Linked DNA regions of Arabidopsis thaliana. The protein of the gene in region 1 interacts with the protein of each later gene in a biochemical or structural test. Each region holds a gene or a part of one and is shown on either strand. Other genes may lie near its edges.

Region 1 (5,654 bases):
CTTGGCGTTGGCGGGCTCGAGGTCAGTTTTCGAATAATCCGTCGGTGTTAACAGAATAATCCGTTATTGAAAAACTAAACGCCGTTAACGGAAACTGTGTGCTTAGCTGGCAGACACAGCAGAGAAGTCAATAACCAGCTGGCATGATCACCGTTTTGCAATTATCCCCATAATTACCGCAACACCCTTCTATTTTTTTATCCTTTTTTTTCTTTAATTAGTATTTACTATTTATTATCGTTATGTTCTTAATTATCCTATTATTGTTTTAAATATTTTTATATAGCGAAATAATTTATTTAAGAAAAAGTCAAGAGAAAATTAATTGACTATATATGGAAAATAATTTGAGGGTGCGAGGCATGACCTAGCTAGAGAAAAATAAAATAAAATGAAGGCATGCATGGTGCTTGGTTCAATGTAATTAGTGGTTCCGTAGGTCTGAACGGTACGGACTGGCCATGATCTACTAGAAACAGTAAATAGTTAATACAAAGTAATTAATTATGAGTTTCAGCAAATTAACTACTCTATATCGAATGAATTAAACAGTAATCCCCAGAAAAGAAAAAAAGAGAACTATGACAGCCTTTTCAAAGGACACCCGAAAACCAAAATGAAGATTTTAAAAATGCCAGCTCTGCAATAGATATTGAACTTTCATTTGTAATTTTCTTTATTTTTGTTGCATTACACACATTTGTTATTTACATTTAAATTGGCTATTGCAATAAAAGATTACTTTATATGCTTATAATAGTACAATATATATGGTGGCTTAAACAAAAGTTTGGCTGGCTTGATAAATACATCTTACATCGAATGACGATTTTACCCTCTATCTTGCTGTCTCTGAGTACGAGGGTTGAAATCCTTACGTGGCATTTTTTCTCATTTTTCTTGGTCAAATAGTTTAACCAAACTCCAAAAGTCTGTGATTTGTTGACATACTTCTAACTAATTTTTTTTTATAATAAAAATCTATTGTATCTGTAGAAATAATCATTAGATTTACTTTCTAGAATATAACTTCTTATTTCTTAGTAATTTGTCCAGATTTTTTTTTACAACTAACTAAACACTAGTTAAAATGTTAATGTCTAAAAAATACCATTACAATTATTCAATTTAATAAAAATTGAGTCGGCCAATTTAATGCGAGACTTCTGTACAACGACCCTAAAAGTGGGTTTGATAAATGAAACATATTGCAACAAAAAAATACTAGTAATAATGATAAAATAGTAACATGTCGTGGCGCATTGAATATCCTACGAAGGTTTAGTGTTTACTTTTAAAAAATCCTAATATGATACTAGTACATATAGCTAGCTTGCCTTGCTTATGCTATTGCATAGTCTGTATTAATAAATGATGTTATACATTTCGATAGAGTAACATTTTGGGAACATGAGTGAACGTGCTTGAATCTTCGTGCCCTTGACGTCAGAAGCTAGTAATTTTAAATACTAATTAACATTCATACAAATTAACAGATACAATGTACTATATCATAATTCGTTTCCGTAACACAACGCAACAATTTGAAAGTAGATGTACTTTAGTACTTAGTTAGTGTGCACCAAAAAAAAAAGATGTAGTTAGTTAGTAAGGGGTTAAATGTTTTAATTTATTAAGAAAACTTAAATTCATTAAATGTTAGAAAAAGTCTAATTAGTTTATATTCGAACACTGTGCTCAAAATTAAAAAGTCAACTATTTTAGACTATAGAGTTTATTAATTAATAATAAATTCGATAAATCACCGTATTATTTTCTTCAACGACAAGTAGCCGTGAAGACACGGGAGCGAAGAGAGATAAACAGAAGATGAAGAAGAAGATCAATGTCATAATCTTCAGGGAGATAAATCCGTAATCTTTATTAATCAAGGTTAATCCTTTTTTTTTTCTTCATCTTAATTCTTTGCGTCTTCCTTTTCTATTTATCACGAGATCTGTCTTTCTTTTTCCTCTTCTTTCTCTCTCTTCTCTCTGAAGACAGTACTTGTTTCTGTCCGGCGTTAAAAGCTTCGGTGGTGGTCTCTTGACTTCTCTGAGAAGAAGAAAAGGAAGCTGAGTCTCATTTTAGATTCAGCTCACGAGGAAGTGACGACGATGTCTCATTCTAGAAGACTTTCGTTGGAACCTGCTATAGATTCAATCACTGGTCGATTTCGTGATTTACAGAGAAATGATGATGACGTCAACAAACCTGATTTTCGAGAACTCGATCTAGGTTCTCCTGTTTCTACCTTAATGCCACGTGGCTCTGCTTCTTCTTCCGCTGCTGCGACTCCTACTAGCAGCTCTGGCTCTTCTGGCTCTGCTTCTGGTAAACCGTCGGTGAGTTCTCAGATGGCTAAACGGTTAGATGATGCTTACAAGAGTCATTCCGGTGAGCTTTCTAGCCCCGGATCCGGAATGCCGACCACGACCCGGATTCTTAAACCGGGTCATAGAAGATCTTCTTCTACTGGCACGCCTTTGATCTTCTCTGGCTCTAGCTTTACTTCAGCAACGAGTCACACCTCGCCACAAGGAGGTGGTAGCGGTGCTACGTCGGCAGTGTCTCCCAATACTGGCGTTTTACCGGCGGGAAATATTTGTCCGTCGGGTCGGATCTTGAAAACTGGAATGGCGTCTCGGACTTCAAGTAGGACTGAGACTCTATGCACAGGAACTGGTAATTACGGACATGGAAACGTTGTACGCAGCGGCGGAGGAGGAGGAACCAGCGGAAAGGCGGTGAGAGTGGCGGAGAATGGCGAAAACCCGGAGGAGTTGAAGAGAATGGGGAATGATATGTATAGGAGAGGGAGTTTCTCTGAAGCTCTGTCGCTTTATGACAGAGCAATTTTGATTTCACCGGGAAATGCAGCTTACAGAAGCAACCGTGCCGCGGCTTTAACGGCATTGAGGCGGTTAGGAGAAGCCGTTAAAGAATGTCTTGAAGCTGTTAGGATTGATCCTTCTTACTCCAGAGCTCACCAAAGACTTGCTTCTCTCTATCTCAGGTAATCTTGAGAGGCTTTTTGTTTTGTTGCTGTGTTTTTAGTTTAAAGATTGAGAATTTGAAATGATGGAGTGAATTGTTGCTTTAGATTGGGTGAAGCTGAGAATGCAAGACGTCACATTTGTTTTTCTGGTCAATGTCCGGATCAAGCTGATCTCCAACGGCTACAGACGCTGGAGAAGCATCTCCGACGATGCTGGGAGGCTCGAAAGATTGGAGATTGGAAAACCGCGATTAAGGAAACCGATGCAGCCATTGCAAACGGCGCTGATTCGTCTCCTCAGGTGATTACATATCATTGTCGTATGATATGCTTGTAAAGATTTTTGACTAACAGTGAGGTTTTTTCTATTGGTTTGGACAGCTTGTAGCTTGTAAAGCAGAAGCCTTTTTGCGTCTTAAGCAAATAGAGGATTCGGATTTTTGTGTATCTTGCATTCCAAGATTGGATCATCATTACCATTCTCAACCGCAGGTGAAACTCTTTGGTATGGTAGTTGAAGCTTATGTGCTCTGTATCCAAGCTCAAGTTGATATGGCATTAGGAAGGTGAGCTTTCGAAACTCAGAAATGTTGTGATTCTTTGGATTTTTGTTTCTCCACCGGTGAGTGAGTAGATATGATAGGTTTGTTGCAGATTTGAGAATGCGGTTGTCAAGGCAGAGAGAGCTGCGATGCTTGATCAAACCAATCCTGAGGTTGTATCAGTTTTAAACAATGTGAAGATGGTTGTGCGGGCACGTACTCGTGGTAATGAGCTATTTAGTTCGGGGAGATTCTCGGAAGCGTGTGTAGCTTATGGAGACGGTCTCAAGCAAGATGACTCCAATTCGGTTTTGTACTGCAACAGAGCAGCGTGTTGGTATAAGCTCGGTTTGTGGGAGAAATCTGTTGAAGATTGTAACCATGCGCTCAAAAGCCAGCCTAGTTACATCAAGGCACTTCTACGTAGGGCTGCTTCATATGGAAAGGTGAGATTAGAACTTACTATAATCAGTTATTGACAGAATTTTGCAGTGTATTCGAATGACAATGTGTGTTGAAATATATAGCTTGGTAGGTGGGAGGATGCGGTTAAAGATTATGAGTTCTTGAGAAGAGAACTTCCAGGAGACAGTGAAGTTGCAGAGTCTCTAGAGAGAGCGAAAACAGTGCTAATGAACAGAAGCCAAGAATCTAAAAGCCTAGGTTTCAATAATGAAGTTGAAGCGGTTTCGACTTTGGATAAGTTCAAGAAATCCGTAGCACTTCCCGGTAAGTCTAATGAGAAACTTCAATTTGTCTCAAAAGGTTGAGATTTTGCGTGTCTTGCTCAAGTTGGAAACATTTCTCTTCAGGTGTCTCTGTATTTCATTTCAAATCATCATCAAACCGACAATGCGAAGAAATTTCTCCATTCATCAACACTTTATGTCTTCGGTATCCATTAGTACATTTCTTTATGGTAAGAACAAGAACACATTCCAAATATGCTTTTTATATCACATTTTCTTCTAAACTTATATGTATAACCTATGTTTCTCAATGTGTTAACTGAGAAAATGAAATGTTATTAGGTGGATGTGGAGGAGAGCATGGCGTTGGCGAAAGCAGAGAGTATCAGGAAAGTTCCGACATTTAAGATGTACAAGAATGGAGATAAAGTGAAGGAGATGGTTTGTCCTAGCCATCAGTTTCTAGAGGACTCTATAAAGCATTTCCTCTTATGATTGAAAAAGCCCTATCATCATTATCTGCTTCCCTATGATTCGATCCGAATAGCCTATTTAAAAGACTCAGAAAGCATTCTATGTGAAAGATGGGAAAGAGCTCTTCTGTCAAATTCAACAAACTATTCATTCTTTCTTCTTATTCGATTCTAATTCTTCTTTATTTATTTTTTGGAGTTTGGCTCTGCTTGCTTTGGCATATTACGTATGGGTAAATGTTCGCAATGATTCAAGAAATGCAAGCTTCATTATCTATTTACGCTTGGCTTGTGTATGCTAGATTATTCACCACACCAGTGAAAGAAACTGAACAGAGTTTACTGTATTTGGTGTTGTTGATTCAATCAGTGACAGAATATGAATCAGAGAGTACCGAATCCAATCAGCTTCTATCTCAGCAATTCAGAAATGAAGGAATATAAGTTTCAAGATTGGATCCATAAGGATAGATAGTAAGACGACAGTAGTGAATTACAAATAAGAGTGTCCTGAGACAGGCATGCAATACATTCAAACCAGAGAGACATTTAGGGCTAAACCAGAGTACAAGTAACATAGACAATCATGATATAGGGAACAGAGAAACTCTACTTTTCACTATTATTCACCGCACATTCAGTTCTTGAAACATATTGTCCAGGTGCACACATATCATATCACTGCAACATAAGCAAAGAAATCTTGAATCAAAATCGGCTTATTTTAATTTGATTTACCCCGAGTAAAGGAATCTCTTATACTTACCTCTGCATCGTCTCCACCAGCACCAGGTTTGGCAGAACCATTCGTCTTATGAGCATCGTCTCCTGCACACAAATGCAAAATTAACAGTTGAAGTCCAAGTGAAAATATATATTGATAAAAACTGGCAATCGTCTTCCAGATGCTATTTCAACTATCTATCATCAAGAATGTCCATGGATATGCTTA
Region 2 (3,790 bases), on another chromosome or scaffold:
TGATACAAGTTAGATGCATTTCAGGTTAAATAAATATGGCCAAATTTAAATTTCATGACTCTGAACCACCAATTCACCTTAGTGCGGCTTTATGTACCACCTAGGTATCGCAATCTAGATGTAGTGTCGTTATAGAGAGTCCATAAAAGTAGATAAGGATGCGACACAAACCTTTCGGAAAATGATCCAGGTGCAGGAAGAATGGCCGTGCTTTTGCCTGGATTACCAGTATTGTTCCTTCAATTCAAGAATCAATAATTATCAGTATCAATCAGCACGATAAGTAGAGCATCAATCACAAAGACAAAACAGGAATAACATTCTTGAGAATGTCGTAAATTATTTATACTAACTATATGGACTAGTCACATTCCAAATGAAAATGTATACTCACAAGTCTCTTGGCGGTAAAGTTGGACCAACAACTAAAGCTTTCTCTGTTGCGCTTTTTCGAAGTTCCTTGGACCCTTTTGGACCTGCGGAGAAAATAATTTGGTCTTTCAGAACGAGAAACAATAGTCATGAAAAAGGCTAAAAGATTACACTAACAGCGTTTTTAGTGCAGCAGAAGTTTGTTTGAAAAGATACTCTTAAGAGGATACATTACTGAAACTTGTTTTCCAATCCTAATTATAGACATATATGAATGAAACTCACAACTAATATAAATAGATATCAGGGAAACTAGAAAATAGGAAACTAGTTTTGTCTCACAACAGGAAAAACAGATAAAAGAACTACCTGGAAGCGCAAGGGCTTTCAATGGAGCCGTCTTTTCACTGTTATGGTCAGCAATACGTGTAGGCTTACTTGCAGGTTCTACGCCTCCAAATGCAACTTGAATCTATACAAGTAACGTCCAAGTCATTAACTTTTATATTCTACTTGATGTTCACTAAAACGCTTGATGCAAACTAAACATCTTACTATAAAGATGAGGGTAATATGCTAGAAAGCAAACTCAAACAATAGTAGCTGATGAGAAGAATCTAACTCCAGATAAAAGGTAAACTATAAAAGTGATAAGCCATTGACTGTTCGATTTACACCTTATAAAATTTTCTCAGGTTCAACGTCTCTGAAGCTTGCTATAAAGCTATCCATTATCAAACTCAAAACAAAGAAGAAGCGAACAAAATTTTCAACACGATCAAAGATAAAATTTAAAAAATATTCGAAAACCCCCTTACCTTATGGCAGAGCCGAATTCTTTTGCTGCGAGACAAGAACAAAAACAGACAAGAAGAAGAAATCGTCAATACACATAAAAATTCTGAGAAATTTCGAGAAAAAAAAGTGGACATTGCAAGCGAAACTGTTGATTAACCTTTCAGGATCAGGCTGAGGAAATTGGCCATGGACGGGGGAGAAAATTTCACGAGCTCGTCTAACAGATTTTAGACTGAGTTTTTTCAGTGACTGAGTTTCGACCTCCCTGTTCAAAGCTATCATCGTCATTCTAGGGTTTTACACGAACAATCAGAAACAGAACGAGAAAGACGGAAGAGAAGAGAGGGAAATAGGATTTTATCCGACCCGAACACTATTTATACGTAGCCCAACACTCGAATCCCCACCCGTTGGACCAAACCCGGCTCATTAAGCGTCGGTTCAGATTTATTTCCTTTATTTAAAAAAAAGGAAAGGGTAAAAAATAGAAAATTGGAAACAGTTAAAGCCCAAAATTGTAATTTACCGAGAATTGTAAATTTACCTGAAAACCCTACGCTATAGTTTCGACTATAAATACCAAACTTAGGACCTCACTTCAGAATCCCCTCGTCGCTGCGTCTCTCTCCCGCAACCTTCGATTTTCGTTTATTCGCATCCATCGGAGAGAGAAAACAATCAATAAGCGACCATGTTGGTGTACCAAGATCTTCTCACCGGTAAGCTCAATAATTCCTTAATCTCGGTATGAACTGTGTAGCTATCGATCTTTTTCTTCCGATCGGAATAAATCATGTTATCGAATTGTTAGATCTGTCATCGCATCATAGGTTTTTCGTTGATTTGCTGCTCTTTGCATTGATAATTCAAATCTTAGGGGATTAGTTTATGTGATTTGGTTAGATCTGTGATTCATTAGTATATAAACGTCCTTTAATTGAGCTTACCGATTCGTTGTAGATTGGATTTTAGGGTTTATTCGCTTGTATCGATTAATGTTTGGGATCTTATGAGTAATGACTAAAGAGTCTGGGCTATTGATTTACAGGTGATGAGCTTCTGTCTGACTCTTTCCCTTACAAGGAGATTGAGAATGGAATCCTCTGGGAAGTAGAAGGAAAGGTCAGTGTCATCGATTCTACTTCAAGTTTTGTTTTGATTTTGTTAAATTTTTGTTTTCCTGTTCTGAATTGGGTTTTGATTTTGTTATCCAGTGGGTTACTGTGGGAGCTGTAGATGTTAACATTGGTGCCAATCCATCTGCTGAAGAAGGTGGTGAGGATGAAGGTGTTGATGACTCTACTCAAAAGGTTGTTGACATTGTCGACACCTTCAGACTTCAGGAGCAACCAACTTATGACAAGAAGGGATTCATCGCTTACATTAAGAAATACATTAAGCTTTTGACACCCAAGCTCAGCGAAGAAGATCAAGCTGTCTTCAAGAAGGGTATTGAGGGAGCTACCAAGTTTTTGCTCCCCAGGCTCAGTGACTTCCAATTGTAAGTTACCCCAATCTATCGTATCTTGCTTGTTATACATGACATATATTTCATCTGAAATCTCATCAATGCTTGTGTTGTCTGATTTTACAGCTTTGTTGGGGAGGGTATGCATGATGACAGCACTTTGGTCTTTGCTTACTACAAGGAGGGTTCAACTAACCCAACATTTTTGTACTTCGCTCATGGTTTGAAGGAGGTCAAGTGCTGAGAGAGAAGCTCTCGTTGGGTTACTGTGGTCGGTCGCAGCGACTCTCTAAGTTTATGTTTCTTTATATTGTCCTGTGTTTCGTCGTCGTCCCCTATTAAAATTACCTGCCAGTTTACTTTTCTCTCTTCTTGTTTTCTGTGTTGGAAGATTCTCAAGTTATTTATTCCGCAAAAAACGGTTTATCATTTACAATTAGTTGAATTTTGGTCGTTACTTTTTGTGTTATTTGGTGTGATATCTCTTCAGCTTTGCTTTTCTAAATTAAACTCCCGAATCTCGAGGCATGTTTATAGTAGATGTCTAATAATTTTGGATTCAGATCTTATGGACGTGAATAAACGAGTGGGTTACTCTAACTGTTAGTAACTTTAAATCATGGAATATGCTGTAGAATGATTCTTTTGACTTTAGTCTAATGGTGTTTTATCCCTTTAAAAAGAAAAAGTTTCGTACAGACATGATGTCTTGAGACATCATCATAGGCATGTTCTGCTCCTTATCAAGGATTTCTATCTCACGTGCGGAATCGATACTAACTAGAGTTCTGTCATCTTGGTTTTAGTTGTGAGACAAATCACAATGTGGCCGTAATAATAATGTATTATGTGTATTCTTTTACTTTGACAAACAACACAACCTATCCTATGCTTTACTATTCTTTTAGTTTGTTGGTTTTATTATTCGAACTATTTATTTATGTATGTGTGGTGTCCGTATGGATGAGAGGGCAACCAAAATGCGTTGGTACGTATTTGTGTCTCACGTAAAAGGAAACGTGATTTGGTCTTGGTCGGTTTGACGTTGCTCCAACTCTCTTGTATCTTATGTATTTATCGTCATTATTTCTTCAAACTTTGTTGTTCCTTTCGTTTTAGGCTTTTAGCCTACACTATTTAAACATTTCTTAT
Region 3 (4,273 bases), on another chromosome or scaffold:
GAAGAGTAACACCGATGGAAGCAGCTGATAAAATCAGAAGAAACCCTTTTCCATAACCAAATGTAAGACCAGCCATCCACATGGAAGGGGAAGAAGGAAGAAGAATGCTTGGAAACAATGCCACTGAGGCAAATAGTAGAAGACCGAGAACCGGTATGCTGAATGTGTTTCTCACCCAATTTATAAATGGAATCAGCTCCTGAAACAAATCACACCAACATTAATGATGATAAATGAATAACCTTCCTTATAAACACATACTCATACATGTAATTCAAGAACCCTAATTTTCAACAATTAAAAACCCAGCAGAAACCAGAATCATTATGCATACCCTAATCCAATCAAATGTAACCAATAAGCATCAGATCTTCGAGAGACAAAAAAAAAACGAACCTTTTCAATCAAAAAGGGACCAACCCATTTGATGATAACAAAGGCCAATGAACCCAAACAAACGACCAAGGAGATCAATTTCACCCAGAACCAGACAGAAGTAACCGATCCTATCGGACATCTCGATGATTCCGCCGATGATCCTTCATCTTCTTCATTTGATCCTCCTCTCAATTTCAGATAATCACCATTATCGGAATCTTCTTCGACTCTCAATTTCAGCTCAGGCACCGTCCCATCGACGCCATTGCTGTACGTCATAGATCGATGCGAAGATAAAACCAAAAAAAGTGAATCCTTTTGGCTCTAAAAAAAATATCTCAAAAGTTTCCGTCAGAATCGTTATGCACCTCTGTTTGTTTTCCTTCGGTTTCTCGAGAAAATTAAACCGTTAGATCAAATGTTGTGTTGATCGGAGAGAGCGAATGGGGTTAGAAGAAAGAATCTTTATTATTCGTTTCCGTTCTTAGCTTTAAAAACTTTTAAAAAATGATATCCTTATAATTAGGTGGTTTAGTTTCAACTTATTAAACCGGTGTCGTAGTCAAACATGTGGAGACATATGAGTGGCTAATAGCTGTTGCTCCGTCACGAACCACCGATAAATGTGTAAGCAGAGTTGCTTTAGACCGGCGCTTTATTTTCGCTTTGCCGTTACGGTGCGTACATACATCGTACTGACAGAAGAAATACGTAACATATTTAATTATTGAAATTTAGTTGCTTGAAGGCAATTTATATATATTACGGAGCATAACATAAAAGAAAACGAGAGGATCGAACAAGAGAATGAAACGCAACCAAAGTTGATACTTGTAAGCAAAATATAAGAACAAGACTCCCTGTAAAAATGAACATATCGATAGATGATATATAGATTAGATAGCTACGTTTTGAAGTATTAATACCATACCAAAGAGGAGCATAAGAACTAAGAAGCTTATGGACCCTATAAACAATTCACAAACTATATCAAATTTAATTTGGTTGTGGACCTTATGGTCAGTATTGGATCCAAAAAAAAGGATGCAGTCGCGAGTGAGAGTCGCTTGCTAATATAACGTCTTGAATGATAGCGTTCGATGATTTTGGATTTCGATTAGTCGTTTCCAAACCAGATAAATGGAAATTGAATTAGTCTCGATTTTAAGGACAAGCATAAACAAATTATAGCTCAAGATTAGATATAGTGGTGTCCAAAACACTTTACGTAAATTAAAACGATTTAGTCATGTTGATATTTGCAAGTAAACTCAGTGAGAAAAGACCTGACCACTTTTAAAATCCGGTCGTTTTAGCGAAGAAAAGAAAGAGATAATTGAAAAGGCCCAAGGAAGAAAGAGTACATTTGGAACAACATATCATCACATTCCGATCAAATCAAAAGAGCGATGGACTAATCGCGTCGGGACAAACGCGCCACCTTTTTTCTTTATCCTACTGTTACGTCACCGTCCAACCAGCTAAGCATGTCCCCACAAACCAAACCCGGTTCATATAAAACCGATTATCTTCACGAACTCGAACCAACTTTATCGTAATCCACAAACACCATAAAAAGTTGATAACCCCACCCATTTTATATCCACTTTATCTCATCAAAAAACTTCCAATCACCACCGTTGGATTAGTAAACAATGGCGTCATCACTCTCCGATTGTTTCATCGAACGAATATTATCAGGGATGTATTAAATCTTCCGTGCGCCTTACCGCATATGAATAAACCATTTGACCACAAAGACAAATGCAAAAGAACTAAAAGAGTCTGGTTTCTGTTCTGTCCTAATTTCTCTCTGGCGAAAGCTAAGAGGTTTCGGTTACGGTCTCCATCTCCGATCAAATCACGAAGTTTCTATCGGAAATTTTCAGTGATACATACCGTCAGAGATTTTCTTTACGAGAGAATTGTCGCCGACATACTAAAGCAGAGTTTTGGGTGGGAATTAGGTAAATATCTTATTGGTTTTGTTCTGTGCCGATATGCAGATTTGTGTTCTTCGTTTGAATCCTTCATCTATTCTTGAACCATTCGATTTAAGTTTTTGACGGCGAAGATTAAACAACTCTTATCTATCTCTTTTTTGTCCTTTTTTGCGCCGGAAGGGTAAAGTGGTCTTTGTGAGATAGACGCTGACCTGGTCTTAAGTGTTGACAAATGACGCATTTACTCTTCGACTTTATAAAGAGTTCCAAGGGTATTTTAGTCATAAATGAGAAATAATTTTAGTCTTTCTCGCTTGAGAAACAAGCCAAGAATCTCCGTTTTCTAAATCTTTCGATATTGTCAATTTCCCTTTATTTTCTCGACGGAATCATAAATAAAAACCCTAAACCTAAAGTCACAAATTCATTCTTCATCTGTTATTCACGATTTGTGTTGTCTTTTCTTTTGCAGTAAGATTTCGACTTTGGAATTGGGAGATCTTTCCATTATGGGTTCTGAGCAAAACGACAGCACAAGCTTCTCTCCTTCAGAGCCAAAGCTCTGCGTCAAAGGATGTGGCTTCTTCGGATCTCCATCGAACATGAACCTCTGCTCTAAATGCTACAGAGACATCCGAGCCACGGAGGAACAAACCGCTTCCGCTAAAGCCGCCGTCGAGAAATCTCTAAACCCTAATAAACCCAAAACTCAACCACAACAGAGCCAAGAAATCACTCAAGGCGTCCTCGGATCTGGATCGTCTTCCTCATCAACGAGAGGGGGTGATTCGGCTGCTGCTCCGTTGGATCCACCGAAATCGACGGCTACGAGATGCTTGAGCTGTAACAAGAAAGTTGGCGTGACGGGTTTCAAGTGTAGGTGTGGAAGCACTTTCTGTGGAACTCATAGATATCCAGAGAGTCACGAGTGCCAATTCGATTTCAAAGGAGTTGCGAGAGAAGCTATTGCTAAAGCTAATCCTGTGGTGAAGGCTGATAAGGTTGATAGGATATGAATTGGTGAAGAAACTGTTGTGTTCTCTTTTGTTTTTTTATTTTCAAGTCTCGTGATGTTGGTGGTTTGGCTCTCTGTTTTCTGCTCTTATTATGGTTTTATTTGCTTTTAGGGTTTCTTAGGAAAGGCCTTAGATTCTGCTATTATGTGGTTTCATGTTTTGCAACATTGGATTTGTTGTTCTGTAATAAAGTGTTGGTTATATTATGAAATTGTGTTCTTATTGGTACCAGCTTACTTCTTCTTACTTGGAGAAGTTGAATTGTTTGCAGATATAGGATTCTCTTGGTTATGAGGCTTATGAACTAGTTGGGGGTCGTAAATAGCTTATGGTGGATAAAAGTGTGTAGCTTGATAGTTCTGAAACTAAAGATGTCGTATAGAGCTTATGGTGGATTCCCCTGGTTTGTTTATAGTGGACGAACAAGTTGGGGTTTGTATATAGCATTATAGCTTATGGTGGATAAAGTATGTAGCTTGAAATTTCTGAAGCTGAAGATGTTGTTCAGGGTATCTTTATCGAGTCATGGAAGATTTAGATGTGTCTTTAGTTTAGGTGTTAAGTGTCCTTGATTGAATGAGTCATTGATTTTGCTTTCTCTGTCTTAGCTGGAGAAAGTAGTGTTCTTCTTACCTGGACAAAGTTTGATTCACTTAAGAGTTGTGGGACTTAGAGTAAGTGGAGTTTTTATATAGCTTATGGTGGATCCAATGAAGTAGTCAAAGTAGTTTACCTATATCGAACCATGGCAGATTAAGAGATGTTTAGGTGATAGTGCCCAGTGATTGAACGAAATCAGTGATTTTTGCCTGGTAGTGGCAGTATGCTTTGATAGCTTAAGAAACTTTAAAGACTTGAGGCTCGGTTTTGGCCATGATCGATTTGTTTGAACTAGTTGGGATATTCGGTGTTGTAGTCGATGACTGTAGATTGAAT
Region 4 (5,464 bases), 4.7 Mb from region 1:
ATTACTTATATATATTAGGTAAAAAATTTTGAGTTTTTTTTGCATTTTACTAAATGTATATCATGGATATGATCTGACTAGAATTAGCTCCAATGCCTTTTTTGAATTCAGGTGTGTAGAAATTGCATATCCTTAATCAGAAAATAGCATTTTGGTTCTACTTACCGAATCAAACCAAAATAAACCACAATCCTATATGTCAATCCTCTGGATGTAATTAACCATTATGATCGAAATTGTTGATTGAAACTAGACGGCAATACAGCTCAGGGTATTTGTACTTTTGTTAATAGATTGATAGCACCATCCTCTTATGGTCCAACCTATTTCCTAACATGAATTTTTCATCTGAATAATTTAGACTTGTATTAAGACCTTGCCTTAGCACCTTTTTACAAAATTTAATTATTATTCTCTCTGAATTAATGAAATTTATATGTATATCGCCTACTCATGATCTAGTGGACATCTACTGTTTAGCTAATTCAATATTTTACATTCGGATATTGTGTTTTGATGCAAAACCAATTACAAAAAAGAAATCTAGGGTTTGGAAGTTTTTGCATTAAGATTTAAACAAAAAGTTAAACACCTCACAAAATTTATCACGATACTAAAATAATTTTCTTATCAAATCACATGTTACTATGTCAGCCGGAGAAAAAAGACTCACATGACATATTATCACATCGATTCACAGAAACTTACATCAAAATAGAAAAATCACGAAAACTGGTAAGGGTTTTTAACTTTTTATGAAGACCCATTTTGTGAATCTTCACATTCAAACTACAAATAGTCTTATAAAACTAGTCGCACCGGCAGAAAATTATTAGGGCAACTAGGCAATGTAAGAGACGTGAGATATCTTTAAAGACGATAGGAACACGTGTATAAACATGATTGGAAGACAAAACTGAAACTGGATTCTGATGGATGATTTGACGACGTAGCTAAGCCAAACACCACGAGGTTCTAAGATGAAGCACGACCACATATTTGGGGTGGGCCTTATCTATGACATGTTCCTACTTCCCTAACTTCCATGGTCCTACTTCTCTCTAATCGTACATCCACTTTTAATTTCGTTTCTTATCTGTCAATTATTCACATGCGTTGCTTTTTTTTCTATATTCATAGCATTGTCTTCCTTTAATTCAGAATTTTTAGGCTTTTAGCATGTGAAACTTTAATTTTGCTATCATATTCTCATTAACCAAACCAAAAAGTAAGATTGTTTTTTTCTTTTTGAATGAGCCACTCTACAAATTGTTGCCAACAACCAAATATATGAATGATGATTGGTTCTCACTAATCATTATACTTTATAAAATTTTCTAATCATCACCATATGCATGTTATGAAATCAAGAATTTAGATCCGTTCTGTACTTCTGGTCTGTCACACACTCACACTTTGTCCCGGCTTCTATGTCCTTGTACGATGAGATTGCTTACACATAGCAGCTTTATGATAAGAAAGATTTTCATGTTCGTCATATTACTATAATCATTGTTATCCTGCATGTTTTTTGTAGTCTTTTAACCTTGAATATCACTGTAACATTTACTAAAATAATAGTTGATAATTTGAATGTAGTTAGCCAAATATCAATTAGTAAACGTTCACTTTTCTTTTAATTTTAATTTTAATGATAAATAAATACATTTACTAAATAAAAGCGTAGTAAAGCATGTTACTTACAGAGATATGTTTATTAATGTTATCTACAAATCACCAAGATCGAGATCTCTGTTAGTCTATTATCAAAAAGTTGGTGAAACATATATCGGTATATATGTGGAAGGTCTAAATTACATAAAATAGCCGTCGATACAAGTACATATCCAAATAGGGAAAAGTTAAAAGGAAATGGTGAAAAGGAAAGTAAACGACGAAGACAAACACAAGGATTAGAGTGAGTTAACTAAAAGAGATAATAAACACATCAGAAAACGACAAATAAAAACTTAGAAAAATAAGATAGAAGAAGCCAATCACAAATATTATTACATTAGCAATTGGGTGGATTGGGGGGACCCATGCTAAAGAAATTTCAATATATAGACACTCTCCAATTATGCTTCCATCTCCTTCAATAGAGAACCAAAAAAAATGGCAACAGAAGGAAAAAACCCCATCAACATGAACTCTATGTCTTCAAGTCTTGCAAGAACCGGTCAATGGTACGAATCAGTCTAGTTTCACCAATAGAGTCTCCCGGCGCGAATCATCAGAAATTTTAACATGTATATATGTAACTTTGTAGGGTTTTTTCTCAAGATATTCCGACCGATGTTGTTGTTGAAGTCGGAGAAGCCAATTTCTCTCTTCATAAGGTAAGCAACAACTCTTAATTCTTGGTTCACAACATTTTTCAATACAAAAAAGGATTATTTATTTTTCATATACTCATGAACTAGGCTTGAATAGAGTAATAATAGGATGGCGAGATTAGTACAAACCATTAGCTTACATGTTTTTAATTACACAAAATTTTAACTATAATTTTTCATGATTGTATATATATAGTTCATGTTAGTGGCTAAGAGTAACTACATAAGGAAGCTAATAATGGAATCCAAAGATAGCGACGTGACAAGAATCAATCTCTCGGATATACCCGGAGGTCCTGAGATATTTGAGAAAGCTGCCAAGTTCTGTTACGGTGTTAACTTCGAGATCACCGTTCAGAACGTGGCGGCTCTTCATTGCGCAGCCGAGTTTCTTCAGATGACCGATAAGTACTGCGACAACAACCTTGCTGGTCGGACACAAGACTTCCTTTCTCAAGTAGCTCTCTCTAGCCTCTCTGGAGCTATCGTTGTCCTCAAGTCTTGCGAGATTCTCCTTCCTATTTCTCGTGATCTTGGTATTGTCCGCCGTTGTGTCGACGTCGTCGGTGCTAAGGTATTATTTTACTCAGAACTCATTCTCACTTCTTTGTAAGTGTTGGATCTCCATTTTGGCTAGTGTTTATGTTTTTCTTTTCTACCTATGTAGTAGTAACTGCAATAACCCAATCTAGTAAGTTAGTACAGTTTTAGGTATGTTTTTCAATAAATGGCAAGAATATCTGGTTTAGTTATTCCATAGGTTTCAAATACAGTAATAGTTTGAAATTGATTTTAAAATTTCATCTATCAATTTTCCTAAGAAAAATCAGTTTGAGACCATTGTTCTTCACTTCTTTTGTTCTAGTGTTTATTATTAAAAACAAAAATCTATTTTAATATTAAAGTTTAGATCTATGATTACTGTTGTCAGACTATGATTGCGATTTAGATTCGATAGGAATATTTCATATTTAATTCGGTTTGGTTTCCGAATCTTAAATTGAGCAAATCATACTTCTACCCTATTCCAGTTCCGTGAGACTCAAGTATAATATCTATGTAATGCAAAATGAATTACGAGTTTAATATTTTAACATCCATGAATTTTTGTAATGCTTGGTTACAGTATCTGATACGTTTTTTATATCTATTTCTTTTGATATTTGAAAGGCTTGCAACGAGGCAATGTTTCCATGTCGAACACCACCAAATTGGTGGACAGAGGAACTCTGTATCTTAGACGTCGACTTCTTCTCCGATGTCGTATCTTCAATGAAGCAGAGAGGTGTCAAACCTTCTTCCTTAGCCTCTGCAATCATCACCTACACAGAGAAATCCTTAAGAGATCTCGTCAGAGACCATTCAGGCAGAGGAGTCAAATATTCCGATCCCGGAGATAACGAATCCGACGAAAGATCCCAACAGAGAGATCTTGTTCAATCTATCGTCTCTCTTTTACCTTCAGACAAAGGGCTGTTCCCAGTCAATTTCCTCTGTTCTCTCCTCCGTTGCGCGGTCTTCTTAGACACTTCCTTGACCTGCAAGAACGAGCTCGAGAAGCGAATCTCAGTCGTTCTAGAACACGTCTCCGTCGACGATCTTTTGATCCCGTCTTTCACCTACGACGGCGAACGGTTACTAGATCTCGATAGTGTCAGAAGAATCATCTCTGCTTTCGTGGAAAAAGAGAAAAACGTTGGTGTTTTCAACGGTGGAGACTTCAACAGAGGAGTCTGCTCTGTTTCACTACAAAGAGTAGCTAAAACAGTTGATTCTTACTTAGCGGAGATCGCTACTTACGGAGACCTAACAATCTCCAAATTCAACGCGATTGCGAATCTTGTCCCGAAATCCGCTAGAAAATCAGACGACGATCTCTACAGAGCTATAGACATCTTCTTGAAAGCTCATCCGAATCTAGACGAGATCGAAAGGGAAAAAGTGTGTAGCTCAATGGATCCCTTAAAGCTTTCTTACGACGCACGTCTTCACGCTTCACAGAACAAGAGATTACCAGTAAACATTGTTCTTCACGCTCTTTACTACGATCAGTTAAAGCTAAGAAGTGGAGTCGCAGAACAAGAAGAAAGAGCAGTAGTTGTTCTCCCTGAAGCTTTAAAGACACGTAGCCAACTGCAAGCTGATACTACGTTAGCTAAAGAAAACGAAGCGTTGAGAAGTGAGCTGATGAAGATGAAAATGTATGTTTCGGATATGCAGAAGAATAAGAACGGTGCAGGAGCTTCTTCTTCGAATTCGTCGTCGTTGGTGAGTAGTAAGAAGAGCAAACATACTTTCTTCTCTTCTGTTTCCAAGAAACTTGGGAAGTTAAATCCGTTTAAAAATGGGTCTAAGGATACTTCGCACATAGATGAAGATCTTGGAGGTGTTGACATTACTAAGCCAAGGAGACGAAGATTCTCAATCTCTTAAAAGAAAACGTTTGATCTAAGTGCTTTTGTGTGTTGTGTATAACTCTTTTAGACTAGTGTGCTTATTGTTCCCTTCTTGATGCGTGATTTTTTTTTTTGGGTGTGTGTGTTTATTGTTTAATGAGCTTGGTTAATAAAATGAAAATCGAAACCAGATTGATTTACTAATTTTTTGTATTAATTAGCAATCTCATAAAAGATGATCTTTAGTTGGTTAATAAACCGTTAATTAAAGAGGATAATTAGCGGTAGACGTACTAAGCCCAATAGTATTTTAATTTAAGCCCATTAAGGCCCAACATTGAAGTTCCTTATGCCCGCAAATTCTGTTTCTCTTCCGGCGACGATCAAATCGAAACAAGTGATACACCGGCAACGACAACTGTTCGCCGTTGATTTCCACCGAATACCTGACTATCTGCGCTGCGACGGCAAGAAATTGAAAATTATGGCTTACGGTTAGTCAAATTTTCAATTTTTATGTTGGGGATATTCATGAGTAAAGATAGATTCATAAAGGTCTAGTCTTTTTGGGATCTGATAGAATTCAAAGTGAGAAGTCGTTTGGTAGACTAGTGTAGGCAAATTCGGTGAATGTGATATAAGCTTGTTACAGGAAAAATGGGAACTTGCTATATTTAGAACATTTGAAATTTAGGTTTTTGTATGACATAGGATCCAACAATAGATTAACGA

The links.
Region 2: the proteins of TTL3 (region 1) and TCTP form a complex in vitro, tested with the Arabidopsis thaliana proteins (one study listed by BioGRID).
Region 3: the proteins of TTL3 (region 1) and AT1G12440 form a complex in vitro, tested with the Arabidopsis thaliana proteins (one study listed by BioGRID).
Region 4: the proteins of TTL3 (region 1) and RPT2 form a complex in vitro, tested with the Arabidopsis thaliana proteins (one study listed by BioGRID).

The regions. Positions count from the first base shown.
Region 1 is NC_003071.7:17,726,738-17,732,391, forward strand, and holds TTL3 (tetratricopetide-repeat thioredoxin-like 3), read left to right. Parts: upstream 1-1,741; 5' UTR 1,742-2,117; coding exon 2,118-3,016; intron 3,017-3,103; coding exon 3,104-3,299; intron 3,300-3,379; coding exon 3,380-3,564; intron 3,565-3,652; coding exon 3,653-3,986; intron 3,987-4,067; coding exon 4,068-4,269; intron 4,270-4,352; coding exon 4,353-4,459; intron 4,460-4,571; coding exon 4,572-4,724; 3' UTR 4,725-5,099; downstream 5,100-5,654. Other genes in the region: GRF9 (general regulatory factor 9), read right to left, coding at 5,427-5,530. UniProt on the Arabidopsis thaliana protein: Involved in osmotic and salt stress tolerance. May play a role in the control of meristematic cell size during osmotic stress. May function as an adapter protein for BRL2 and may be required for signaling affecting leaf vascular tissue pattern formation.
Region 2 is NC_003074.8:5,668,801-5,672,590, reverse strand, and holds TCTP (translationally controlled tumor protein), read left to right. Parts: upstream 1-1,748; 5' UTR 1,749-1,861; coding exon 1,862-1,889; intron 1,890-2,218; coding exon 2,219-2,292; intron 2,293-2,384; coding exon 2,385-2,671; intron 2,672-2,764; coding exon 2,765-2,882; 3' UTR 2,883-3,274; downstream 3,275-3,790. Other genes in the region: AT3G16650 (Transducin/WD40 repeat-like superfamily protein), read right to left, coding at 172-237, 395-476, 742-844, 1,191-1,215, 1,328-1,458.
Region 3 is NC_003070.9:4,240,880-4,245,152, reverse strand, and holds AT1G12440 (A20/AN1-like zinc finger family protein), read left to right. Parts: upstream 1-1,951; 5' UTR 1,952-2,345; exon of another isoform or gene 2,346-2,793; 5' UTR 2,794-2,830; coding exon 2,831-3,337; 3' UTR 3,338-3,732; downstream 3,733-4,273. Other genes in the region: AT1G12450 (SNARE associated Golgi protein family), read right to left, coding at 1-199, 397-657. UniProt on the Arabidopsis thaliana protein: May be involved in environmental stress response.
Region 4 is NC_003071.7:13,002,225-13,007,688, reverse strand, and holds RPT2 (Phototropic-responsive NPH3 family protein), read left to right. Parts: upstream 1-1,942; 5' UTR 1,943-2,115; coding exon 2,116-2,186; exon of another isoform or gene 2,187-2,269; coding exon 2,270-2,339; exon of another isoform or gene 2,340-2,532; coding exon 2,533-2,910; intron 2,911-3,506; coding exon 3,507-4,769; 3' UTR 4,770-4,962; downstream 4,963-5,464. UniProt on the Arabidopsis thaliana protein: May act as a substrate-specific adapter of an E3 ubiquitin-protein ligase complex (CUL3-RBX1-BTB) which mediates the ubiquitination and subsequent proteasomal degradation of target proteins.